Danio rerio: one gene and its partners. The protein of the gene in region 4 purifies or fractionates together with the protein of the main gene of each other region. This does not show direct contact. Links are inferred from orthologs where the notes say so. Each region holds a gene or a part of one and is shown on either strand. Other genes may lie near its edges. The genes, in order: polr3f, polr3c, chd8, kpna2, polr1e, ran and mta2.

The links.
Region 1: the proteins of kpna2 (region 4) and polr3f purify together in Homo sapiens (co-immunoprecipitation; 3 studies listed by BioGRID and IntAct, with this or other methods). This does not show direct contact. The link is inferred for Danio rerio from reciprocal best matches to the Homo sapiens genes KPNA2 and POLR3F.
Region 2: the proteins of kpna2 (region 4) and polr3c purify together in Homo sapiens (co-immunoprecipitation; 3 studies listed by BioGRID and IntAct, with this or other methods). This does not show direct contact. The link is inferred for Danio rerio from reciprocal best matches to the Homo sapiens genes KPNA2 and POLR3C.
Region 3: the proteins of kpna2 (region 4) and chd8 purify together in Homo sapiens (affinity purification with mass spectrometry; 4 studies listed by BioGRID and IntAct, with this or other methods). This does not show direct contact. The link is inferred for Danio rerio from reciprocal best matches to the Homo sapiens genes KPNA2 and CHD8.
Region 5: the proteins of kpna2 (region 4) and polr1e purify together in Homo sapiens (affinity purification with mass spectrometry; 3 studies listed by BioGRID and IntAct, with this or other methods). This does not show direct contact. The link is inferred for Danio rerio from reciprocal best matches to the Homo sapiens genes KPNA2 and POLR1E.
Region 6: the proteins of kpna2 (region 4) and ran purify together in Homo sapiens (affinity purification with mass spectrometry; 3 studies listed by BioGRID and IntAct, with this or other methods). This does not show direct contact. The link is inferred for Danio rerio from reciprocal best matches to the Homo sapiens genes KPNA2 and RAN.
Region 7: the proteins of kpna2 (region 4) and mta2 purify together in Homo sapiens (affinity purification with mass spectrometry; 4 studies listed by BioGRID and IntAct, with this or other methods). This does not show direct contact. The link is inferred for Danio rerio from reciprocal best matches to the Homo sapiens genes KPNA2 and MTA2.

What each region holds. Positions count from the first base shown.
Region 1 is NC_133197.1:25,881,332-25,884,831, forward strand, and holds part of polr3f (DNA-directed RNA polymerase III subunit RPC6), read right to left. Parts: exon of another isoform or gene 3,323-3,500; intron 2,568-3,322; coding exon 2,460-2,567; intron 2,387-2,459; coding exon 2,195-2,386; intron 1-2,194. UniProt on the Homo sapiens protein: DNA-dependent RNA polymerase catalyzes the transcription of DNA into RNA using the four ribonucleoside triphosphates as substrates.
Region 2 is NC_133191.1:14,620,385-14,623,884, reverse strand, and holds part of polr3c (DNA-directed RNA polymerase III subunit RPC3), read right to left. Parts: intron 3,189-3,500; coding exon 3,087-3,188; intron 2,997-3,086; coding exon 2,947-2,996; intron 2,493-2,946; coding exon 2,343-2,492; intron 1,412-2,342; coding exon 1,295-1,411; intron 344-1,294; coding exon 262-343; 3' UTR 224-261; exon of another isoform or gene 1-223. UniProt on the Homo sapiens protein: DNA-dependent RNA polymerase catalyzes the transcription of DNA into RNA using the four ribonucleoside triphosphates as substrates.
Region 3 is NC_133177.1:41,117,520-41,121,019, reverse strand, and holds part of chd8 (chromodomain-helicase-DNA-binding protein 8), read left to right. Parts: intron 1-1,463; coding exon 1,464-2,111; intron 2,112-3,500. UniProt on the Homo sapiens protein: ATP-dependent chromatin-remodeling factor, it slides nucleosomes along DNA; nucleosome sliding requires ATP. Acts as a transcription repressor by remodeling chromatin structure and recruiting histone H1 to target genes.
Region 4 is NC_133178.1:24,115,676-24,117,952, forward strand, and holds part of kpna2 (importin subunit alpha-1), read right to left. Parts: intron 467-2,277; coding exon 203-466; intron 116-202; coding exon 1-115.
Region 5 is NC_133176.1:21,140,520-21,144,019, forward strand, and holds part of polr1e (DNA-directed RNA polymerase I subunit RPA49), read right to left. Parts: intron 2,562-3,500; coding exon 2,431-2,561; intron 2,268-2,430; coding exon 2,186-2,267; intron 2,102-2,185; coding exon 1,970-2,101; intron 1-1,969. UniProt on the Homo sapiens protein: Component of RNA polymerase I (Pol I), a DNA-dependent RNA polymerase which synthesizes ribosomal RNA precursors using the four ribonucleoside triphosphates as substrates.
Region 6 is NC_133189.1:25,986,190-25,988,925, forward strand, and holds the end of ran (GTP-binding nuclear protein Ran), read left to right. Parts: exon of another isoform or gene 1-122; intron 123-228; exon of another isoform or gene 229-1,325; coding exon 1,326-1,496; intron 1,497-1,602; coding exon 1,603-1,647; 3' UTR 1,648-2,236; downstream 2,237-2,736. UniProt on the Homo sapiens protein: GTPase involved in nucleocytoplasmic transport, participating both to the import and the export from the nucleus of proteins and RNAs. Switches between a cytoplasmic GDP- and a nuclear GTP-bound state by nucleotide exchange and GTP hydrolysis.
Region 7 is NC_133182.1:17,905,426-17,908,925, forward strand, and holds part of mta2 (metastasis-associated protein MTA2), read left to right. Parts: intron 1-1,373; coding exon 1,374-1,474; intron 1,475-1,581; coding exon 1,582-1,721; intron 1,722-1,805; coding exon 1,806-2,034; intron 2,035-2,125; coding exon 2,126-2,215; intron 2,216-3,023; coding exon 3,024-3,142; intron 3,143-3,229; coding exon 3,230-3,372; coding exon of another isoform or gene 3,373-3,386; intron 3,387-3,500. UniProt on the Homo sapiens protein: May function as a transcriptional coregulator. Acts as a component of the histone deacetylase NuRD complex which participates in the remodeling of chromatin.

The DNA of each region.
Region 1 (3,500 bases), on a different chromosome or scaffold from region 4:
GGCGACAGCACTATTTACTGCGCCACTGCATCGCCCCATAATGCGTGTGTACGATGTATTTATTATATAGACACTATGCAGTTTCTTGACCACAATGAGAGCATAAATCCTAGCAATATTGTCTTTTTAATTTTCTGTCAGTATAAATAAAAGCTACAATTTTATATAATACAACGTGACTACAGAAGACTCGAGCTTTAAATAGGAAAACTATTAACATTTTTTTAATTCTTTCAACGAAATGCAAATGGTCTAATCCAATTTAATGCATTATGCTAAGCTAAGCTAAAAGAGACGCCTCCAGAAAGAAAGAAATCGTCTAAATGGATTCAAAAATGTTTCAAGTTAACTGTTAAACTCTAGGAGACTAGTGAAAAGAGCATGTTCCTGTAATGCTGTGTCCACACCAGATGTGGCATGCGCTATTCGCTCGTTTATAAATGTGTGAACATTTTGAGTTTACTCGCTTCATTTGTGCATCATCCGCTTCACAACAGATGCAGGATCGCATCATGGTTAGGGCTTGTCTTCCTGGCAACTGTAGCTTTGTTGCTAAATGGCTAACATAGATTTTATTGAGTGAATAGCTGTTTTTACGTGCTTTATGAAGGCTGAAAAACAGCATCAATTCGTTTGGAGCCATGTCTGAGTCCACTATATCCTTTCTGAGTTGCAACCAGCTCTGTGAGTTCATAAACTCCTCCAGAAACATAATCTGGATGATGGAGGCATTCAGCAGTGCTTCTGATTGAGCCGAGCCCAGTTTGATCAACGGTTGTCAGTGTCGGCAGGGGGATTTTCCCTCAGGACACCAACAACAGGCGCTACGTCATAAGCATACCCCATACAAGAACAAGCTCCTGATTGGTTAATGTGGTGAAGCCTCCTGATTGGTTAACTGTCTGCTGAAGTTCAGATTTTACCAAATCGGGCAATTCGCTCGAAACGCACGTCAAGTGTATCAATAGCGCAAAATGCTCAACTTGCACCACATCATTCGCGCCACCTCATTCGCGTGTATCGCGCAGGATATATATTCGCAGCTTTGCTTTGACTTAACATGTAAATCACTCGCACTTGGCACTTCTTCCGCGTCTGGTGTGGACGCAGCAAAAGAGTTAAACTTAGATTCAGACCATTCAAATTTAGATATAAGAATTGCCAAACTAAGAATGCAGAATAAATAATTGATACTGATATTAAACATCATAACAATCAGAATTCAGAACCCCTAAATTTGGAATATTCAGACTCGTCAAATTGTCGAATCTACTCAAATTAAGAATTCAGAGTCATCATATTCAGAATTCAGACCAACCAATTCAGAAAATGTAGAAACCAACATTTTAAATCCAAAATACTGCTTCATACAATACAGAATTATGAAGATTCCTAATACAGACTAGGGCTGCATGAATTCACAATATTTTATTTATACGATATATATTGTGATATTGAATCAAAAATTTCACCAGATGAATTGAATAAGTCTTTTTGGAAAGAGAGACTGAATCTACATAAAATATAATAAACCAATCACAAACATTGAGATATATAATAGTGCACTACACCATACAGATTAAATAAACAGTGCTTTTTGATTTGTCTGGAAGTCTAACAATATTCACATACATAAATGTAAAATAACACTGTATGGTCTTTGTCGTATAAAATATATATATAAATACAATGAATCGCTTTTAAAGTTAGAAACATTTTTTTATGCCTAAATATTTTAATCTAACTTAAATGATAAAGACACACATAAGTAATACATGTCTTGTATGTTTATGGTTAAACGTTGCAATACCTCCACAAATCATGAGAGTTTCAAATGTAGCTCCTGGTCAAAAATAATACCTGTTCAACATTGCAGATCCTGCGATGTGACTATTGCAAAATGCGCATATTGTGATATCGATGCTGAAACTACATATTGTGCAACGCTCATACAGACTCTTCAGAATTCCCAATCACCACATCTAGGATTCAGACTAAGCCCAATAAGAATTCAGGCTTTAGAATTATCAATTTCAAATCAGACTTATCAAAATCAAGACGGAAATTTAGATTTAACCGATACAGACTCAGGCACAGTAATTCATATTGGAAACATTTTAGAACATTCTGAATTACTCCATTCAGACTTGTTTAATAGTTTCTTTCAAAAAAAAAAAAAACAGTAAAGGTTTACCGGGCACAGTCCACATGGTGTTTTAACCAGGCCAGTGGGTTGAATTATGGGATTGACTCCCCTGTAGAGCTTCATCTGTCCATCCACACTCCCTACTGTTCCCTCTTTAGCGGCAATTATGGTCATTTCCACTTTTCCATCAAAGATCAGTGTGTTCAAGATGGTCTCGATGTCCTCCATGGACAGATCCACCTGCACACAGGAGCAGCATATTATACTGAATTTTTCCGTTCATGTTTTCAGAAAGCATATTATTGACACTCACTTTGCTGATGCCGAGCTCACAGATGTATTTCCACACTTCATGAGAGGTGGCAAATGAGCTGTTTCTCTGCACCATAGGGCTCTGCTTACTATCTCTCGCTGTTTCAGCCTAAAAAACAAACATATTGCTAATTATTAAAAATTTCACATTTTTAAGTAAATGCAGGGTTTATTTTACTGTAAAATATGGATAAAACTAAATTCCATCATTCAGTCATCATTCACAAAGGTGGAGTGTTTCTTTAAGAGTCAAATTTGGAAATAACCAAATTAGGAAGTCAGAATCAACAATTCACACTAATATTCAAAAATCATCACATTCAGAATTCAGAACCGTTGAATTTGGAAAATTGAGACTCAACTTCAATCAACTTCAGAATTAACTTACATATTTCTGATTAATTCGGTGTCACACTAGTAAGTTGAAACGCAGTTTAAGGTTTGCTTTCACACCTATAGATCAATTTTTTTGTTCTGAAAATTGCTACAATGTTGCTTTTTGTTCTTGATGCGTTTTGCTTTCACATGACAAAGTTTATAGACAGATCAAAATAATTAAAACAAGCAACTGAACACCGAAGCGCTCTAGATTTTAAGCCGAGACCATCTCATTCATTCATTTTGGCATTCATAAGAACTCAATCGCGGATTTCACATATGCCCAAACAAAAGCTAAGGTGGCAAACGTGCCACATTACGAAACAAACGTCTAGCTCAAAACTTTTTTTTAATGGGTCTGCTTAAGTTATGATTAACTGATATTTGGCTTTGTTATTTACTAATGCGGGTTTCTTAACCTGATAAAAGGATTCACCTTAAAATAACCCAGAGAATTTTATTTCTTATAAAATTATTTATTATTTTACATTTATGCAAACAGAATTTATTTATTTCTTATTTTAATATGTTAAGGTGAAATAAGAGACAATAATTTATCTATGTTAATTAATAGCATCATTTATACAGTCATACAGTTATATCCATTAGATTTTAATTAATGACTGCCAAAACAAAAAGTTTTTTTTTTTCAGTAGACTGTCTT
Region 2 (3,500 bases), on a different chromosome or scaffold from region 4:
TTTTATTTTTTCCACATGAGAAAAAAAAAGGATGCTAAAATTGCATTTGCAGCCACACACACACACACACACACACACACACACACACACACACACACACACACACAAACACAAACACAAACACACACACACACACATGCACACACGCACACAAAATGTGATTAAATACAAATCGGTCACTCTTTGTTCCAAAGGAAATAAACATCTCCATTTGACAATTTACCTTTATCCATCTATTTCACATCCTAAACTAGTCTACAGTCAGCGAGAGGCCTGTGTGGAGTTAATGTAGGATTCCAGAAGAAAAATGGTCTCATCCACCTGGTTTTCGCTGGAATCCAACCTGCCACCATGAGCACAAAGAGAAGAGATTTGATTAATGATTGACTGAATATAAACCACATGATTCGACACAATGTGTACTAACGCCCTGGCTGTATCCAAAATCACAAACTATACCCTTAATCTATTTGAGGGAGCAGTAATTTGTAAATGTGTCTACAGTGGACATTCTGAAGTGTGCTAAAATCAATCCCATAATGCAACTCGATAAAGCGCGAACAATCGGACGGATAATGAATTCCCGAATCTGACCACAAGATGGAATCCACAGTGTAATTCTGTCAGTGTAAGTTTCTAAATAATTCAATATTTAAAGGTGCTCTCTGTACGATTTTGACTCTTCAAATGCATAAAAATACCATAATATGTTTGCAGATACTTAAGAAACATGCTAAGCGAACAGATCTTGTTTATCTGAAAAACAATGCTGAAGTCAGATATTCTACTTTGAAAATGTCTGTTACATGCTGGAACGCTGTCTTTGTTTTGGTTCTTTTAACCCACCCAGTGCCACTTTAGCCAATTATATTTCAGCAGCCCGAGTTGCCTTGTTGGAAAACTGCGTATTTTATTCATTCGCTATTCAGAAAGGCTTTGAAAACATTCATCCGTGACCAAACTGCAACCTCTGGTGGACAGTAGTAGACTCTGAAATGAGATGCCGATTGAGAGTTGCACATGAGGTTATCAATTAGCAGATCATTTAAATATTATGAATGTAATCATTAGGTGAGCAGAGGTAACATTGTAACCGTGTGTCCTAACAACACACTGTGTGAAAAGATTTGCCGTGATGAGCAATTAGGCTGTTTGCACCAGATGAAACACAACAGAAATTTAAATACAGCCATTCAGAAATACAGAATGTGCACTCAGTCACGAAACGGTAAGGTTTAAAAACTATTTAATACATGTTAAACCTCTTTAGGGCAGCAGTGTGTAGCACAATTACCTCACAGCAAGAAGGTCGCTGGTTTGAGCCCTGGGTGGTTCAACTGCCATTTCTGTGAGGAGTTTGCATGTTCTGGTGGGTTTGCTCCGGTTTACCCCACATGTCCGAAGACATGCGCTATAGGTGAATTGGAAACATTATTTCTTGCACATGACCACGCTAAACAAAATTGTTGGCATCCAAAGACTTGTAGACCTTTAACTTCTCTCTTGTAAAAACACTTAGAGCTTCAATGAGATTGTATTTTTCGATGCTTGGCCATTTCGTCTTATCCAATAATCATTGGGAGAGTGCTATCGCAAATAGACCTGTCAGACGAATGGCGCTCACCTTAATGTAAATTTAGCAGAATAACTGTGTTTATCACTTAGTGACGAGCTGTTATAATACGCTAAAAGCATTATGTAAATAATATATATAATATGTAATCAATATAACTTATTTCTAAGACAACAACGAACTCTGTACTACATCAGATGTCATTCCCTCGCTGTAAATGGTAGTGCTCCCGGTTTTTTAGCCATTGCGCGCATCTTGAATGTTTACAAACATGATAAATGTCTATTGAACAGTCTATTTTAGTTCCTCAAAATAGCTACGCGCCAACAATGCGCCTTAACACACCTCTTTTCTAGACTGAAACATCCATAAGTCCACAAAGTGCCTCAAATGGATTTGCTATTTAAACAACGGGGCGGAAAACGGGAAAATTAATGTTGCGTTGGTCTGAAAATAGCAACACGTCGTGGAAACCCATCTTGTGCCTTGTTACACCGAGTGTACGATAGGGCCCAAAGTGGTAAAGATCTGATTTGTTTGAAATCAGGGGATCGTCCTTTAACACTGACATTTATATTAAATGAACTGAATCAGTTTTTAACTAACTAGCACATATCTAGCATTCTACCACTGTACTGCTACCTGGCTGAAATGCTGAATATGTCCCACAAATTAAAATATTGTTATCAGATTTTTTAATTTGATCACCTATTGTCTTTCTACAATATATAAAATGCTACAGAAAGGAAGGGGACTTGGTTTGCAGTACTTGTTTATATGGTGTCGCAGGGACTCGAGCTGCTGTCTCTCAGGAGCTGTGATCATCTCCTCCACCTCGGTCAGCTGTGTCGCCTCCGCACCGGTCGCCTGCAAGGATGCTAGGATGGCCTCAATCCGCTGAGATTTCTCCAAAAGCCGCCTGTCAAAATAATAATAAACAAAACATTAATGACAAAATCAAAAACTTCCACAGTAGATTAAAGGGTTAGTTCACTCAAAACGAACATTATCTTAACCTCAAGTAATTTCAAAGCTTTCTTTTTATTCTTGAACACAAAAGAAAATATTTTCAAGAAAGCTCAAAACCGGAAACCACTGACTTCCATTCATAGTATTTGTTTTCCCTACTATGGAAGTCAATGGTTACTGGTTTTGAGCTTTCTACAAATGTCTTTGTTTGTGTTCAAGAGTAAAAAGGTTTCAAATTACTTATAGGTTTCCAACATTTTTCTAAATATCTTTGTTTGTTTTCAACAGAGGTAAGAAACCCATGAAGGTTAAAAACATGTAAAGGATGAGTAAATGATCATTATAGCTTCTCGAGTGATCTATCCCTTTAAATGTTTTAATGTTGAAAAGGAGAAGAGACTTGCTTGTTCTCTTTGGTCTCATACAGCCGCCGCTCAATCAAGTTCCCAACTGTCTGTAAAGAGGTTCACACACAGATATCAAATCAAAAAATACACTCATTAATTAAACAAATGCTTTAAAGCTGTTCGTGCGAGCTACGTACCTTGTAGCAGTGTTGCAGAAGTAGTCTTGCGGTGGGCAGCTGATTAACTGTGTACAGGTAGAAGGTTCGAGAGGGTGCGTGATCAGGTGTTTTGGGGATTTCCTTTACATATAATACAAAAGGAGTGAAAAGAAGTCTTGATAAGGGCCAGACAGAATCTGCAGACATGTTTTTACTATTTCTGCTAAGAATTTTTAAAACATCTGCGGATTCATGCGGAATGATTTCAGGATTATCGTAACTAAAAACACAAGAAATAAAAGTAAATAAAATAAAACCTTTTAAACTTTTATTTAATGTTTACAAAGCAAATCCATCTAGATTCACTTGTTTGGTAAACAAAGCAAGTCCCTCATTAAATAGATCTGCTAAAAGAGAATAAATATGATTTTAAAAACTGTACTGTAAATAAAT
Region 3 (3,500 bases), on a different chromosome or scaffold from region 4:
GCACATATGAGATTAGTGACGTCAGTACATAATAACTGGTTATGATCTATTACTGCTCGGATACTGAATTGTTTGTGTGTGCGTCTCGGTGCACAGATGAAACAAGTCATTTTGACACCCCTAATGTTTAAAATATAATAGTGTCATAATAGCTTATAAATTGGATGTTTTATGATGTTCATTGTTAATAAATAATAATTAAATAAATAAAAATATTTTAAAACACACAAGATTGAATTAAAAACGTGTTTGAAATGGTAGTTGTTGTAAAAATATTCTTTGTACTTAAGATATTTTATTTATTTTTTTATACTTTTTAAGTTCGTTATGTCTATTCTTGTGCGCATATTGTGAGTGACGTGCATGCGCCGCTCACACTTTCCAAGTGCACTAGTGCACAGTGCGAGTGCACTGAGAGTCACGTGACATGAAATGGACCAATCAGGTACATACTATTTATAGAATCTGCACGTCATGCTGCAAAGCGAGAAAAAAACTACAAAATGAAAATACCAAACAATTTCATAATACAGTTGATCAAAAGTGCCTTTCAGGCAGAGGTTCAGCAGCCTTTGACTACATTTGTTCTCTAATATGTAGCTTAGATTTACATTAGACAAATGCTATATATTTTTAATTTATTATTCTGTCATTTATTTTCAGTGTAATATTATTATTTATGTTTCAATGCCAAAAACTTTTTAAACTTATTTTTAAGTATATAGAGAAATGGATTATCATCATTTTGTGCTATCTTGATTGGTTACTCCACAGCAATAAAAACACATTAAAATATAAGGAGTTCTCAAGGTATTTTCTAAACTAGTAGTGTTTTGTTATTAATGTATGCATGATAATCGCGATAAATCTAAAACCATGATTATTTTTCAGACTATAATCATACAACCAAAATCTATAATCGTTGACTCCCTATTAACAACATGAAGTCTTATAGAAAACAAGAACTGCTAGTTACAAATTAGGGTTAAGGTGCAATTTAGAGGTTTAGTCATTGCTTGTTCAAAGTAAATAATCCCATTTTATCCGATAATATTCCTCTTTATCTTTCAGTTACTGGAGGGAAAAGGTCTTTTTTTCTCCAAATAACATATTAAACTATCACTATACAGAATAAGTTCCATGTCGCATGGCTTCTCTTGAACTTTTTATAATATTTCATATATCATATCATAAAGGTTAAAATTATTTTACAGCTTGGCTTAAGTAGTTATGAAGTAAATAATTGTTTAATAATTTAATAAAGTTAAATAAAAATGTAAATAATTAATTTCTTTTCCTGGTATAAAAATAGCATTTTTAAAATTGGGCTTTCTCACATACACAGGTTTTTTTTAGATTGCTATAGTCCCACCAAACAAAACTACAGCAAAACACCAAAAATCTTTATTTCTAATTCTTTAATAACACTTTTTTTTCCCTGTCATCTTTTCTTCCTTTATTAGAATCTCAAGATATGTCTCAGTCTCTGGCCCCGATCACAGAAGAGCGAGCCTCACGAACTCTCTACAGGGTCACCCTGCTGTGTCGGTTGCGTGAGCGTGTTCTTCCTCACCCCTCGCTCGAGGAACGCCTCAGTCTGGCACCACAAACCTCTGACCTGCCCAGTTGGTGGAGCATCCCAAAGCATGACCACGAGCTTCTCTTAGCTGCTGCCAGACATGGAGTGAGCCGCACTGAACTCTCCATCTTCTCTGACCCACTGTACTCCTTCAGTCAGAGCCGCCTCGACTACCTCCAGAACCAGCAGGCTCAAGCAGCTGCACAAATCCACGCCTTCAGTCAGTCACAGGATCCAGCCGGCATCAAAGAAGAGGGCCTGGAGGATGAGTCTCGACTGCTGGGTGTGGAGGCTCTCTGTCCGTCAGACTCTCCGGCCATGCTGCTCTCTCATTCTGACAGCAAAGTTGGCATTCAGGCTGGCTGGGTCTGGAAGAAGAGCAAAAACAACGGGCCGAGTGAGAGGAAATTGGGAGGGGGAGGAGGAGGGGCTTCAGACTCTGATTCTGATTCAGATTCAGGCTCGTCTTCCTCCTCTCGGCATTCAGGCAGCTCAGATGATAGTGGAGACAGTGATGTGGAGAGAGAACAAGGTAAGCGGACACTTTATTTTGAAGTCCTCATGATATCTAAATTGACTCGGTGCACTTTTGTTAGTTTTCCATGATATTTTTAGAGTGAAATGTATAGTCAATGCGCTGTTACTCCAGACAAAAATAGTTCGTTGCGTTTAGAAAGCACATTATACAAAATATAATGCTTTATTTTCACGAAATTAACTGTAGAAAAAATATATGATATTTGCTTATTGGTTCCAAAATAAGGCAGAAATCTTTTGAAGGAAACTAAAACATTTTTATTAGCTGTGATTTTAAATCAGGGGTCTCAAACTTAAATTGGCGGGGGCCATATCAATGACTGACAATTCATAAAAGTGGAAGTGGAATTCTCATGTAATTGATGCATTCAGACTTTCTTCCCCAGAGCATACGCAGTCACAGCTTCTTCTTTTTTGTTTCTTATTGTACGTATTGAAGGGGTAGTTTAAGTTGCTATGAAAATACTACAATTTAATAATAGGCATAGTAATATTATAATTACTGTGTCCCAATCTTTACTCAACCAAAAGTTTAACAGATAACACAAGAACAGCAGAAAGTAGATTGGGTAATCTTAGATTGGGTAAGAGACTTTACTGGCAATTGTTCTTCTCAATCACTTTTTTTTTTTTGTAAAACTACAACAAAAAGGGGGTAGGGGTGTATATTCACTATTACTTTAACAAGTTCATTTCAGCCAGCAGTCAAACTTTACTAATGCAGATTTTTTATACAAATCTTAATATGCATATTAAATGAGAGCATTTGAATGGAATATTAGCAAAACTATCATATTTACACCACCCTCATAACCCATAAGCCATTGAGATGAGCTTGTACAACACGATACAGGTGGTGTAAAACTAATTATAATCAAATCACCCTTGAATATTTTAAACATATAGCTTTAGTAGAAATGGAGCATCTACGGACAGATATTTCAGCGTTTAAATCAGCTCCAGAAAATAATCTGCTTGTGGTACTTTCGAGCGCATGCTGAGAAAAACCAAATGCAACCCAAACATATAGTACAGTACTTAAGACGTCCAGTAGGTGGGGGGTCAAAACCACTAGTGGCTATATGTGACTGCACTGCACAACAATGATAGTGATTCAAAAATATATGTTTTGTGGGGACGAATCTCATATTTTTGACATCATATGCGGGCCGGAGGGAGGAGGAGGGGGGGACGCAAATGGCCTGCGGGCTGGCAGTTTGAGAACCCTGTTTTAAATATTAGTTTTTTATAATATATAAAACCTTTCTGATCAATTGAATGCAATGTTGTTGAGTGTGGACAGTTAGTTAAATGTATTTTGAAGTATTTTTAACAAGAGTATATGTATTCTGTAAAACATTAGGGTTTATGGGAAGTGCTAGAT
Region 4 (2,277 bases):
TCTTTTGGTGGCGCAACAGAGCTGGGAACATGGGAAGAGCACCAGCCTCCAGCACAGCCTGCGTTTGTTCATCTGTGCCAGTGACAATGTTACCAATAGAACGTAGTGAGGGGGTCTGTGGCAGGAAAAAATAAAAAAGTTATTATTAAATTTACCATTTTAAACGTATAACTCAAGAGTTCACTACTTTCCACCAACTTACCACAATGGACAGCTCCCCAGATGCCAGTAGCTGCACCAGTCGAGGAACCACACCGGCGTTCACCACAACCTCAATGCGATCATTGGGCCCGTCGGTCAGGTAAGAGATGGCCCAGCAGGTGTCCGCAAGCACTTCTTTGTCACTGTGCTGCAGAAGGCAGATGAGTGTGGGTAGTATCTGTTTCACAGCCTCCAGAGGTGGTGCAGGGTTCTTATTGCGGCACAGGTTTGACAAGGTCCATGTGACGTTCCTCAGGTAACCAGCCTGTAGAAGAAAAACTGGCTGGTCAGGGTAATTCTACACAGCTTTCACGCCATCTAGCGGTAATGCATGCTCACTACAGTTTAAAACAAATAGTCCTGAACACCAAAAACAACATTGTTTGAGGTTTAGAGATAATACATGTAAAAACCTTTATTTTAATTTTTTTTAGCTAATAATTTTAAATACGTTTTATGCAATACACCTTTCAAGAACCCATGATCACTGTACAACAAATATACACAATTCAATAATTTAAAAATAAACCCACAGTATATTTAAAAAAAAAAAAAAAAAAAAAAAAGAGAAGATTATAAAATACAAATAGCCAAATAGCTTTGGCAGAGGGAACAGAGTGTATGGAGGAGAAGGATCTAAGGGAGCAGAAATGAGTGATGATATGGAAGAGATCAGACAAATAAGCTGGTGTGAGGTTATGGATAGCCTTAAAAAGTATGCAGGACGATTTTATAATCGACTCTAGGTTGGATTGGAAGCCAGTGCAGATTTTGTAAAATGGGGGTAATATGGTGAAAAAGAGTTTAGTGATGATGTGGGCAGCTGAGTTCTGGACCAGTAGAAGCTTATAGACGGATTAAAAAAAAATGTAATACATTAATAGGTTTTCTAAATGTAAATTTATAGGGAGAATGTTACAAGTTGCAATTAGCAATTTGTAGTCATCAAATTTGTAAAAAAAAAAAAAAAAAAAAAAACACAATTATTTTATTTTACAATCATATGTGCGCCCATAGGCGTTCTGATCTAAAAAAAGATGGCGTGTTGAGGTGCATTGCTATTTTGAGAAACTATAATAGTCGGTTCTATAGACCTGAACAAAGCCGGTCTATTGTCCAGCAGAGCACGTTAGTTGTGCGCCTCGCTTACACACTGCTTAATACACACAAAATGTAGAGCAATACGCAAAAATCTTTACATATGAAAAATTAAAATATAATACATATTAAGGATTAAAAATATTACAAAAGATTATTTTCAAGCCTAAATTAATATAAAAACTATACTTTCATGCCTTCATCCCGGGAGGCTTTTTCAGTTCATTCATGACAATTTGCTAATGTATAATGTATTATTTTTAGCAGTATTATATGCATATTTATATTTGCTTAATTAAAAACGAGCTTAGATTTGCCCACCTGTCAGGTTTCAGACCATATGGGAGTAGCATGTGTATTAGGATATAACTCAGGTTTTTGAACACACTTCGTTATTATTGTTCATTTATTTGTTTGCTGGAAATTAGAACAGATTTTAGAAATAGTTTTAAAACTAATCTTTGCGCTTAAACTAAATTAATTACTTATAGGCTAATTGATGTCGGTGCGTATGACACGTTTCCCTATCCACAAACGTGAAAGTTAATAAGGAGGCTCATTTCTCATTCTCGCGCTGTAGATGCTCTGTTTAACTGTTTTCTTGCTAGTGAAACGCTCAGTTTTTCCACTTACGTCATGTAAATAGCAAATGCGCTATGGTGCGATGCAACGCACTGTTAAAGGGAATGAGAGATGAGACTCTGATTGGTTTATTCTCAAAACACATCTATAACTCATTAATAAAATAAGCTGAACCCTTTCAGACCATGCGCCATGGCGCAAAGCGGATTTTTTCCCTCATTATTTAAGAAAAAGTGGATTCTGACATGCCCTAATGCGTTTGCACCCTGCGCATGGATTGTGAAAAGAGCCCAAGGTTTAAAGTAAATCTTAAGTGTATACCTTTATAATAAATTTAATATAATAATAATAATATCTATTAAGCTTAGAGTGTAAATAAACAAGAACAAAACTAAT
Region 5 (3,500 bases), on a different chromosome or scaffold from region 4:
GTCTACAAGGAATGAAGTTTGTGGACTACAAGAAAATACACCTTGGTTAAGGAGATCACAAACGGTTCAGGTTACGCGCATTCACCCCGCACATACACCATTTGCAGCAAAGGGGCGTGGCCAGATGCGCTGTATTGTTATAGCAGAGAAAGCTAAAATGCAGTCCAAACGCTGCTTTTTCCACAGAGCTTCTTCTGTTTCTGTATTTGGGCTTCCAAATAACAAAATAAAGAGAGAAGTGCTTACAGTTTAATTTTAATTACGTTCCAGTGAATTTTAAAAACATGTGTAGCTAGCATTTGACAAAAAACAGCTTCCGGAATGTCTCCCAGTTCAGTGCTGGATTCAGCTAAAAACTCCTCAAAGAAGGAGCAGCTTCAACCATAATAGCAGAAGGTGTGGATTGTAAAATGTCATTTGTCTCTCAATGTAGCCGCTCTCCAATCTAAGATAACAAAATCGCAAAATATATATGAATGTTTCATATTACTTGCACATGCTTATTCCAAATATATGTGAAAGACACTGGTCAGATTTTATTTTGGAGAGCACGGATGAGGTTCAGCTATGTCCTCTTAATTTTCTGTCTGATTGAGACTCAAACTGATACGGCTAACAGCTGCTCTGACTGACAGTACAGTGGACCCGGAAAGTATTCATAGGGCTTGACTTTTTTTTTTTTTGTTACAGCCTTATTCTGAAATGGATTAAATTCATTTTTTTCTTCAAAATTCTCCACACAATACCCCATAATGACAATGTGAAAAAAGAGTTTTTGAAATTGTGCTTGGCACACCTTGGCTTTGGGAATTTTATTCTTTGGGAATTTTTGCCTATTCCTCTTTGCAGTACCTCTCAAGCTCTATTAGATTGGATGGGAAGTGACAGTGGACAGACATTTACAGATCTCTCCAGAGATGTTCAATAGGATATGGGTCTGGGCTCTGGCTGGGCCACTCAAGGACATTCACCGAGTTGTTGTGAAGCCAATCCATTGATATTTTGGCAGTGTGCTTTGGGTCATTGAATAAAATAAAAAAACGAACATCTGTTATCAAATTAGCAATAATTTTATGTATGCTCATTCATGACCATTTCAGATGTCCATATTGGAGTGTATATATAAATCTATGATATACATACAATAGGATTAAGCATTTTTTTGACCACATTAACGCTTGACTGGAAATTGTTTACAAACATTTCCATTTTTGAAAATGCACACTCCGAATGGGGACCAATTCTCACTTTGAACTAGCTTGCATATTTTACACCTGTTCTTAGTACTGATAAACCACATATTAATTCCTTATCTGTCCAACCATATTTTATTTCCCATTATCCTCTCATATACCTAAACTCACAACTACCCTGCTAACTGTTAGTAAACCATTAATTAAGTGAGGCTAACAGTTTGTAGCTAATAGTGTATATGTGTTACTAAAGTGTTACAATGTGGCTGGACGATTTGGCCTGAAATCAAAATCTCAATTAATTGAACATTTAACTCGATTATGATTTATGAATGATTTATTTATTTATCTTTGGCCTCTTCGCGCCGCCACTTGTCAATGCTACCAAGCAGACCAATCACAGAGTTTAAGTTATGCGTCGTCACAACATGTAGTTACATTTTTGAGAGGTCAGCGTTGGCATTAGTCGAGGGGTATCCGACCATGTGAAGGCTGCACCAGTACATATGCTGTGCTCAACACAGAACTGTAAACAGAGCAGGGTCACGAGACTCCACATATGGTAGGAAAAGTAATTGATAAAATTGACCTGGAAAAAGATTGATTTTAAATTCTGAATGTCGATTTCGATTACTTTGATCAATCGTCCAGCCCTATCTTACAGCAGATGAATATATTATCCTATATCGAAACATATAACACATTAAATTCAGAAAAACCAACAAAAGAATTCTCAATATTAATAATATGTTTGTAAATGGAAGCATTGGACTGACTTGTTTTCGCTGATGCTCATGTCCCTGTGTAGGAGTGTGAGGTTTGCAGTCTGGCCACCCATGTGAAGCAGTAAAGCCAGACAGTAAGAAGCCATTTTCATGCGCATGGACATCGACACTGTGTTCCTGAGACTGTAGAGACAAAACATGCATTGATATACGGCCATTATCTGAAGGTTTTATCAAAAAATAGTAAATATTAAGACACAAGCACACCTGCCATTGTGGAAACTCTCTACGGTGAAATTCTTCAGCACTTTGTTGATGATGATTCGTGGACATCCATCGTCACTACCAACTTGTAAAACGGATTAAAAGCAATTCAGGTTATTTATTTATATATTTACTTAAAAAAAAACAGGGGCCATATACAATAAGTGTATTTGTAATCAATACAATATTATCGTCTATTGTACAGACAGACGCATTCAATATTTTAGCTTTGCTTCTGTAAAACTCACATTTAAAGGAAATTCGTTTCTGTAGCGAGGCTCTGATGACAAAGGAAAGGTACCAGGCACAACGACACTGTCTGTCTCGATCCGCCTCGTCTTTGGAAAGTGTTTCAAGATGTTTGAGAACTGTCTGCGGACTAAAAAAGGCAATTAGATTAGTACAAATAAGAATTTCAAAGTCTAATCAGGAGCTAAAATTGACCTCAAATTAAACTCTTTCTACACAAATTAATTTCCATGACTCTGAAACATCTCTAGAATGTTTGTAGGTTTGTTTTTAATTGAAGGGACAGTTCACCAAAAAAGAACAATTCTGCCAATTTCTCACCCTTTTTACAAACCTGATTGTGTTTCTTCTGTTAAACAGAAAAGAAGATTTTTTTGAAAAATGTGTTGAAAACTGGTAGCTATTGACTTTCATAGTATTTATTTTTCTTACTATGAAAGACAATGGTTACCTGTTTCCAACATACTTCAGTATATATATATATATATATATATATATATATATATATATATATATATATATATATATATATATATATATATATAGGTCAAAAGAAACTCAAAGGTTTGGAACTAATGGAGGGTGAGTAAATGATGACAATTTGTCACCTTGGAATTACAAGGTTATATCTGCGTTCTGAATAATTTTGAGATAATGAGCTATAAAGTTTTGACATTCCATAGCAAACAGTATGTGTGTAACATTTGTTTTACATATAATATAAGTCTTAAAATGTAAACAACTTATTTCAAATTTCCATTTGTGTAAACTATTCCTTTAATCTGACAGTAGGAATGCATTAATTTAATCTTAGTTAGGAGACTTAGATTCATTTGATATGAACGTTTTAAGTATCTAAATGATTACTGGAGACATTTAAAAACGATCAATTATAATCTAAATGATTAAATTGTTCATAGATAAATTCTATAAACATTCCATAGTTTACAACAAGCCTTCTCTGTTTTGGTAGTTTGTTTCCCCAATTACATTTTCCATTATTTTATTTTGAAATTATGTGAACACAAAAAATGATCAGAATATAACAGTGAGCATAAAAAATACATGT
Region 6 (2,736 bases), on a different chromosome or scaffold from region 4:
TCACTAGGGTCTTAAAATTTACTTAAAAGAAACTTGCAGAAACCCTGCAAAAACTTTAACTTTGCAGCCTGTTAATTGGTGAAACTGAAAGTTGTGAATGCAAAATTCACATAATTAACTTGGCATTTAAAAATTTCTTTTAAGTGATCATAAACAAACAATTCCAAACAAAACTGGAGCAGATTTGCGAATCTCTGCTCTTGTTTTTAAATAAGATTTTATTAAAAGTCTATGATTTAATGATTCATTCATAATTGCTTGTTTCTTTATAAATTATCAGTTTGAATGGATCATTTTTATCTTTTAAATTTAATTTCTCATTAAAGGATTGGTTCAACCAAAAATTCAACTGATTTATTCACCCTCATTTGGTTCTAACCCATTGCCAGAATCTATATTACAATATTTTTAATAAAATCAAGAGCTCTCTTGACTCCCTGGACCACAACATCCACAGTCCTGCAAACCAAACAGAAGTTCCATGTGACTTTAATAGTTTTGTTGTAATCATACAAAGAGCCGAAAACACTTGGATCGACTGAAAAAAAATGAATGTCTTTGTTCACCAAGGTCTACTCTTCTGCATCAGGTCATGGTGCAGGGTCACTGGTCAAAGTGTTTGTTGTCTGTAGTGCAATACGCAAGTGTTGTAGTGCAAATGCACACTCTCCCATGATGTGCAAGACATTTATGATGGTTGTTTTTACTGTTCGTTTTGTTTTTCTTTGAGCTTTAATTAGTTGAATGACTGGGGTTACGTGAAATGGTTTGACAATGGTACTTATTTCTTTTCTGGATATTCTATACATAGAGCTTCATAAAGTGCTTGGATTTCATCTAAAATAACTTCTATTCCAAAAAACAGTGAGGCCTCTAGGATTGAAATGACAAGTGCATGAGAGAGCTTTTTTATTTATTTCCTTTTTTTGGGTGGTTAACCCAGCTACAACACAGACTGGCCGGTACCTACTGATGGATTTTGTTCCATTTATCTAAAAGTCATAAAACAGCCAAGATATCGGCACAGTACAATCCAGAAAATCGAAATATCAAGCTGTCCATTTTTGCTGTAATCATGCACCACTAGTGTGAAATCATGTTCATCTGCCTTCGCTTTTATATTTAAAACCCACATTTTAAAAACCAATCAACAACATTTTGCATCAGAAGTATTCATGCTACTTTTTGGCTAATCTGATACACTGATAGATTTTGTCAATGCTTCTATTCTGTTGTGATGTGAGTGTTCAGGATGTTTCTCCTGTGGATGTGAATGCCAGTTCAGGTTGTCAGATCATTCATGTGATGTCTCTCTCTTTCCTCAGTACTATGACATCTCTGCCAAGAGTAATTATAACTTTGAGAAGCCCTTCCTGTGGCTCGCACGGAAGCTGATTGGAGATCCCAATCTGGAGTTTGTGGAAATGCCTGCTCTTGCACCACCTGAAATTGCTATGGACCCAACACTTGCTGCACAGTATGAGCACGACTTGAAAGTATGTACATTTTTCATAACACAAACATACAAACTTACTGCAACTGCCAAAACTTCATTCAATATGTAATGTTTTTTTTTTTCTTTTTTTTTTTTTTTTTTTCTAGGTGGCATCAGAAACAGCTCTCCCAGATGAAGATGACGATCTTTAACCTGTTAGCCTCTGACCTCAAGGCGATGTCACTGTTTCCTGGTGACGGGTCCTTCCCCTGCCCCTTTTACTGTACAACCTTCCCTCCCCCAGCGCAGAATATTTTTATTTTTCAATTTTCGGTTTTTTGTTTTGTGTTTTGAATTTGAGTAAATTGTGTGGTTGATTTCATTGTAGACATGCTAACTGTTGCCACCAGATACACACATGCAGACATGCCTACACATTGACACATTCGCTCACTCAAAGGTGTGAGAGCAGGCTAAGTGTCCCAGTGCTTACTTCGATATGTAAGGCTCTAAGCACTTAGAGGAATTCTTGGAATAAAAACATTCTCAATATAACCTTGCCTGGTTTCTCCTCAATTTATTTGACCTGAATTTGATAATGTCTCTGAAAATAAAACTATTGGTTGAGTATCTTGTGTAATCGTTGTATTCATCAGCTACTCTGTATTTTTAATCTGTGCTGTGATTTCAACCGTATTTAGTGCTGGATAAAGATTAATCGCATCCAAAAGTTTTTGACCATGTTTTTGTATTTAATACTTGTGCTGCACGCATGGTTAGAAATAAAACAATACAAAACAATTGTTACATGGATATTTATATACAATTTGTACCAGTAACGTTATAGAAACATTTATTAAATATGCGTGCAATGTTCATATACATAATATACACGTAAATTGTCAAATCAAGCCTGTTTTGGGTGCCATTCATTTTTACACAGCTCTCATTTAAATTTATTTTAAAAAGTGAGTCATTAGACCTAGAATTCCTAGATTAAAATTGGCTTTTATGTGTATTGTTTTGCCATTTAATAATTCATTTTATTTGTAAATGACATTTGAGGGCGCCTTAAGTTATAACAAGCATCAGCAGTCATCCCTAAACAAATAAAAACAATTGATGAAACGTTGCTGAACAAAATATTAAATGCATGTTAGGAGATGCAGGTGCTAGACTTAAGACTCACTGCTCCTTAGGTCCAGGGGTAGTAGGTTCCTTATAGCCGAGAAGCCATGGAGCTGAAATATCTGGCTCCCATTAATCAACATTATATTTAAAAGCTGATGATTAATAATAAC
Region 7 (3,500 bases), on a different chromosome or scaffold from region 4:
TTATAATTACATAGTTTGCATTCATTTGTATATACATTTTATATTTTACATAGCTATTAATATGCAAAAATCAAATAGCCTAAATCATTGGATTTGTTTAAGGGTGCTTTCACACCTGTGAATCGATTCAGTTGTTCCGAAACAGAGATTAAAATTGTTACATTGTTGCTCTTTGCTCTTGGAGCGGTTCGCTTTCACATTGCAAAGTTTCTAATCGGACCAAAAGAGCTAAAACAAGTCACGTGCGAGTAAACTCTCCTCACATTGGTCAGAGTGTCAGGGTTTATTTTGCAGCGTCCCGCTCAGCTGTCAGGAGAGGTGGTGGTTTGGTGGTGATTGACAGGGTGCGCGCGTGTGACGTGTCTGAGGAGAGATGCGGTGGGGAGGGGTGAGAAGGGTGCGCGACGATGCCTATTTGAGGACTGGGAGAGAGACGCGAGATTACCGGGAGATCATCACTCGTTTGCGGGCATCCGGAGACTCGCGAAACTTCCCGCCCTACTCATAATTCTCTCTTCATATAGCCGTAAGCCTATTACATATCCATAAAACACTGTGATATAAGCGCGCTCGGATCGGATCGCTTTCTCACTGCAATCGAACCGCTCCAGGGTTCGTTTCAATCGAGCCGAGACCACCTCACTCAAGCGATCTCGGAGCGATTACTTTGGCGCGGAACAGAGCGCGATTGCCCTGTTCACATATGCCAATCGAACCGCGCTAACTGGGCAAACGAGATACGTTCCGAAACAAAAGTGTAGGTGTGAAAGCACCCTAATTCGTAGATTAAGTTATGTTGGCTATTTTTTTAATGGATCTTTTATAAGAACTGTAAATAATTTTTCCAATGAAAAAAAATGTTGGTTTGTGGGTTGCTCCGACTTGTGGCCAACAGTGGACATTTCAGAAAGTTTGCGGCTTCTTTCTCTACTTTTGCTAAGACACTGAGGTGTTTATAATGCAGATCCTGGAAAAGGGTTATCAGCACTGGTTTGGCATCAACTTGTCTGTTTCAAACTGTGACCATCAATGTCTTTATTTTCACTCCTTTCATTTTGCTTATTTAGCACAATACGTCTATAGTTGCACTTGTTACCGCCCGGCGGGTTAACAAATACATGTTGTACATTTATGCAGCAAAACTTAAAAAATACTAATTAAAAAAAAAGAATATTTTAAACCATTTAACTGATACATTAATTGATAAAATATGCATTCCTTCGGTTAACAGTTAATCAATTAATGCAAACACCCCTACTTTGTGTATTTTATACTTGCAATTAACTTTCGGCTGTGAGGTCTCTTGAAAATCTCAAATGGTTTGTACATGTCTATCTTCTGTTTACCAATCAAAATGTTCATCCCTCCTTCAGCACCAAACCCAACCCCAACCAGATCACAGCACCTGGAAATAAACCTGGCATGAACGGTGCCACCGGCTACCAGAAAGGCCTCAGTTGTGAAAGCTGCCACAGTGAGTCAACTCGCCACTGCAAACATCCACAAACAGTATTTAGATACAAGCTGAGTAATTCCCATGCACTATACTGTATGTGTTATCATGGCCTGTTGTTCTTGCAGCTGCCCAGTCTCAGCAGTGGTATGCATGGGGTCCTCCTAACATGCAGTGTCGACTATGTTCGTCCTGTTGGATTTACTGGAAGAAATACGGTGGTCTGAAGACTCCAACTCAACTAGAGGGCGCCACAAGAGCCAGCTCAGTATGTCAACACCTACGTCTTTTAAAAATATATACAGCCAGAAAATGAGTATATAGCTAAATGAACATCATATCTGTCCAATAGGAAGCAGCTCCGCGTGGTCACATGACCCGTCAGGAGGTGCAGGGAATGTCCCCGTTTACCAGCAGTGCGGGACGAGCTAAACTTCTGGCCAAAAACAGGCAGACCTTTATCCTGCAGACCACCAAACTCACTCGAATTGCCCGTCGTGTGTGCCAGGACATCCTGCAGTCTCGTCGAGCAGCCCGTCGCCCGTACGCTTCCATTAACGCCAATGCTGTCAAAGCTGAGTGTGAGTCTTTTTATGCAATATATAAATAAAAAAATGCTGTTTTATACAGTTGAATGAAGATGTGTCTGACTGCCTCTTTCTTTTCTTTTAGGTATGATAAGACTTCCCAAAGCAGCAAAGAGTGGTGTGAAAAACCGGCCTATTCCTCGACCATCCCTCATCAATATAGTTAAAGATTTGGGTATGGCTTCAGCATTATTTCATAATAGAGACATGCTTACATCTTATCAAATTAGCTGACTTTTAAAGCCTAAAGTGTACAGTCAGTTTTTATGTATATGCAAGTGTCTACACACAATGTGCATTGGCAGCAGGTATGCATATACTTTGTCTACTTGGTCTCAACACTGAAGCAGACCACTCGCTTGACATTTTGAAATAGATGAGATGAATCAAAACAAGAAGAATTATTACAGATCTTATTTAAAGGCTGTGTCCAAAAGCTCTAAAATGCTGCCTTTGGATACAGCATTCAAAGGTGTGAAGGTATTAAGGGCGTACTCAAACTATGTACAGTTGCCTTGAACTGGGCCAAAGCACGCTTATCGCCATTCCCATCTCCCCTGGCGGCCCGCACTCGCCTTACATTCGAGCCCTGGCACGCTTACGTCATCGCTGATGCGCTGTTCAGTAGAGAAGCGCTCTCGCTCAGCACAGTGGAGATTTCTTACTGTTCAATGACACTTGTCCTAAAAAAAAACTAACCAATATTCATTTTTAGTATAATCTGAGGGATTGTTTTTGTTTGTCAAGCCACTTCTTTTGATTAAATTAACACTGATGCGAATGTAGTGAGTTGCAACTGTAAATGTAAACACACACCTAAATAACTGCAAAGTATACTCTTGGCTTCGTGGTGGGGAAAAAACTACTCAAAAGTGAATAAGTATGGCTCAAGACTGATCATTTGACTCTTATTTATTATTTTACACAATTTTATTCAGAGTATTCAGAGTAATATGTACTCGTTTTATTTATTACTTTTTTAGCCATTCAAGCTCCTTTGAAACTCAAAGCCCCTCGAGGTGCTCCAACCCCGATCAACCGTAACCAGGTTAACCAGCCTCGCAGCGCATCTGCCCTGCTGGGCAAAAGGCCCTTCGACAATGTGAGTATCCCTTACTAATGTACATTAGCCTTTCCCAGAGGTAGAAAAAGTAGCGTACATTGATCTAAGCACCCTCATTGGCCACAGGCTGGAGGTCATTTGCTCTCCACCAACGGAAGACCGTTTGCAATGGGAATGAGAGCAGCCAACCAGTCCGTCATCAAGAGGCAGAAAGTCAGTCAAGGCGATGCTCCCAATCCTGTGGTGTTTGTGGCTACGAAAGACACCAGGTATGCGTTTCAGGGTGTGTTCACATTTGATTACTTTCATTCAGTTTATGTATTCTGATGCTGTTATGGGACGTTCACACAAAATGCGTTTTTCCTTTGCAACGTGCTACTTTCCTATTGTTTTCCAA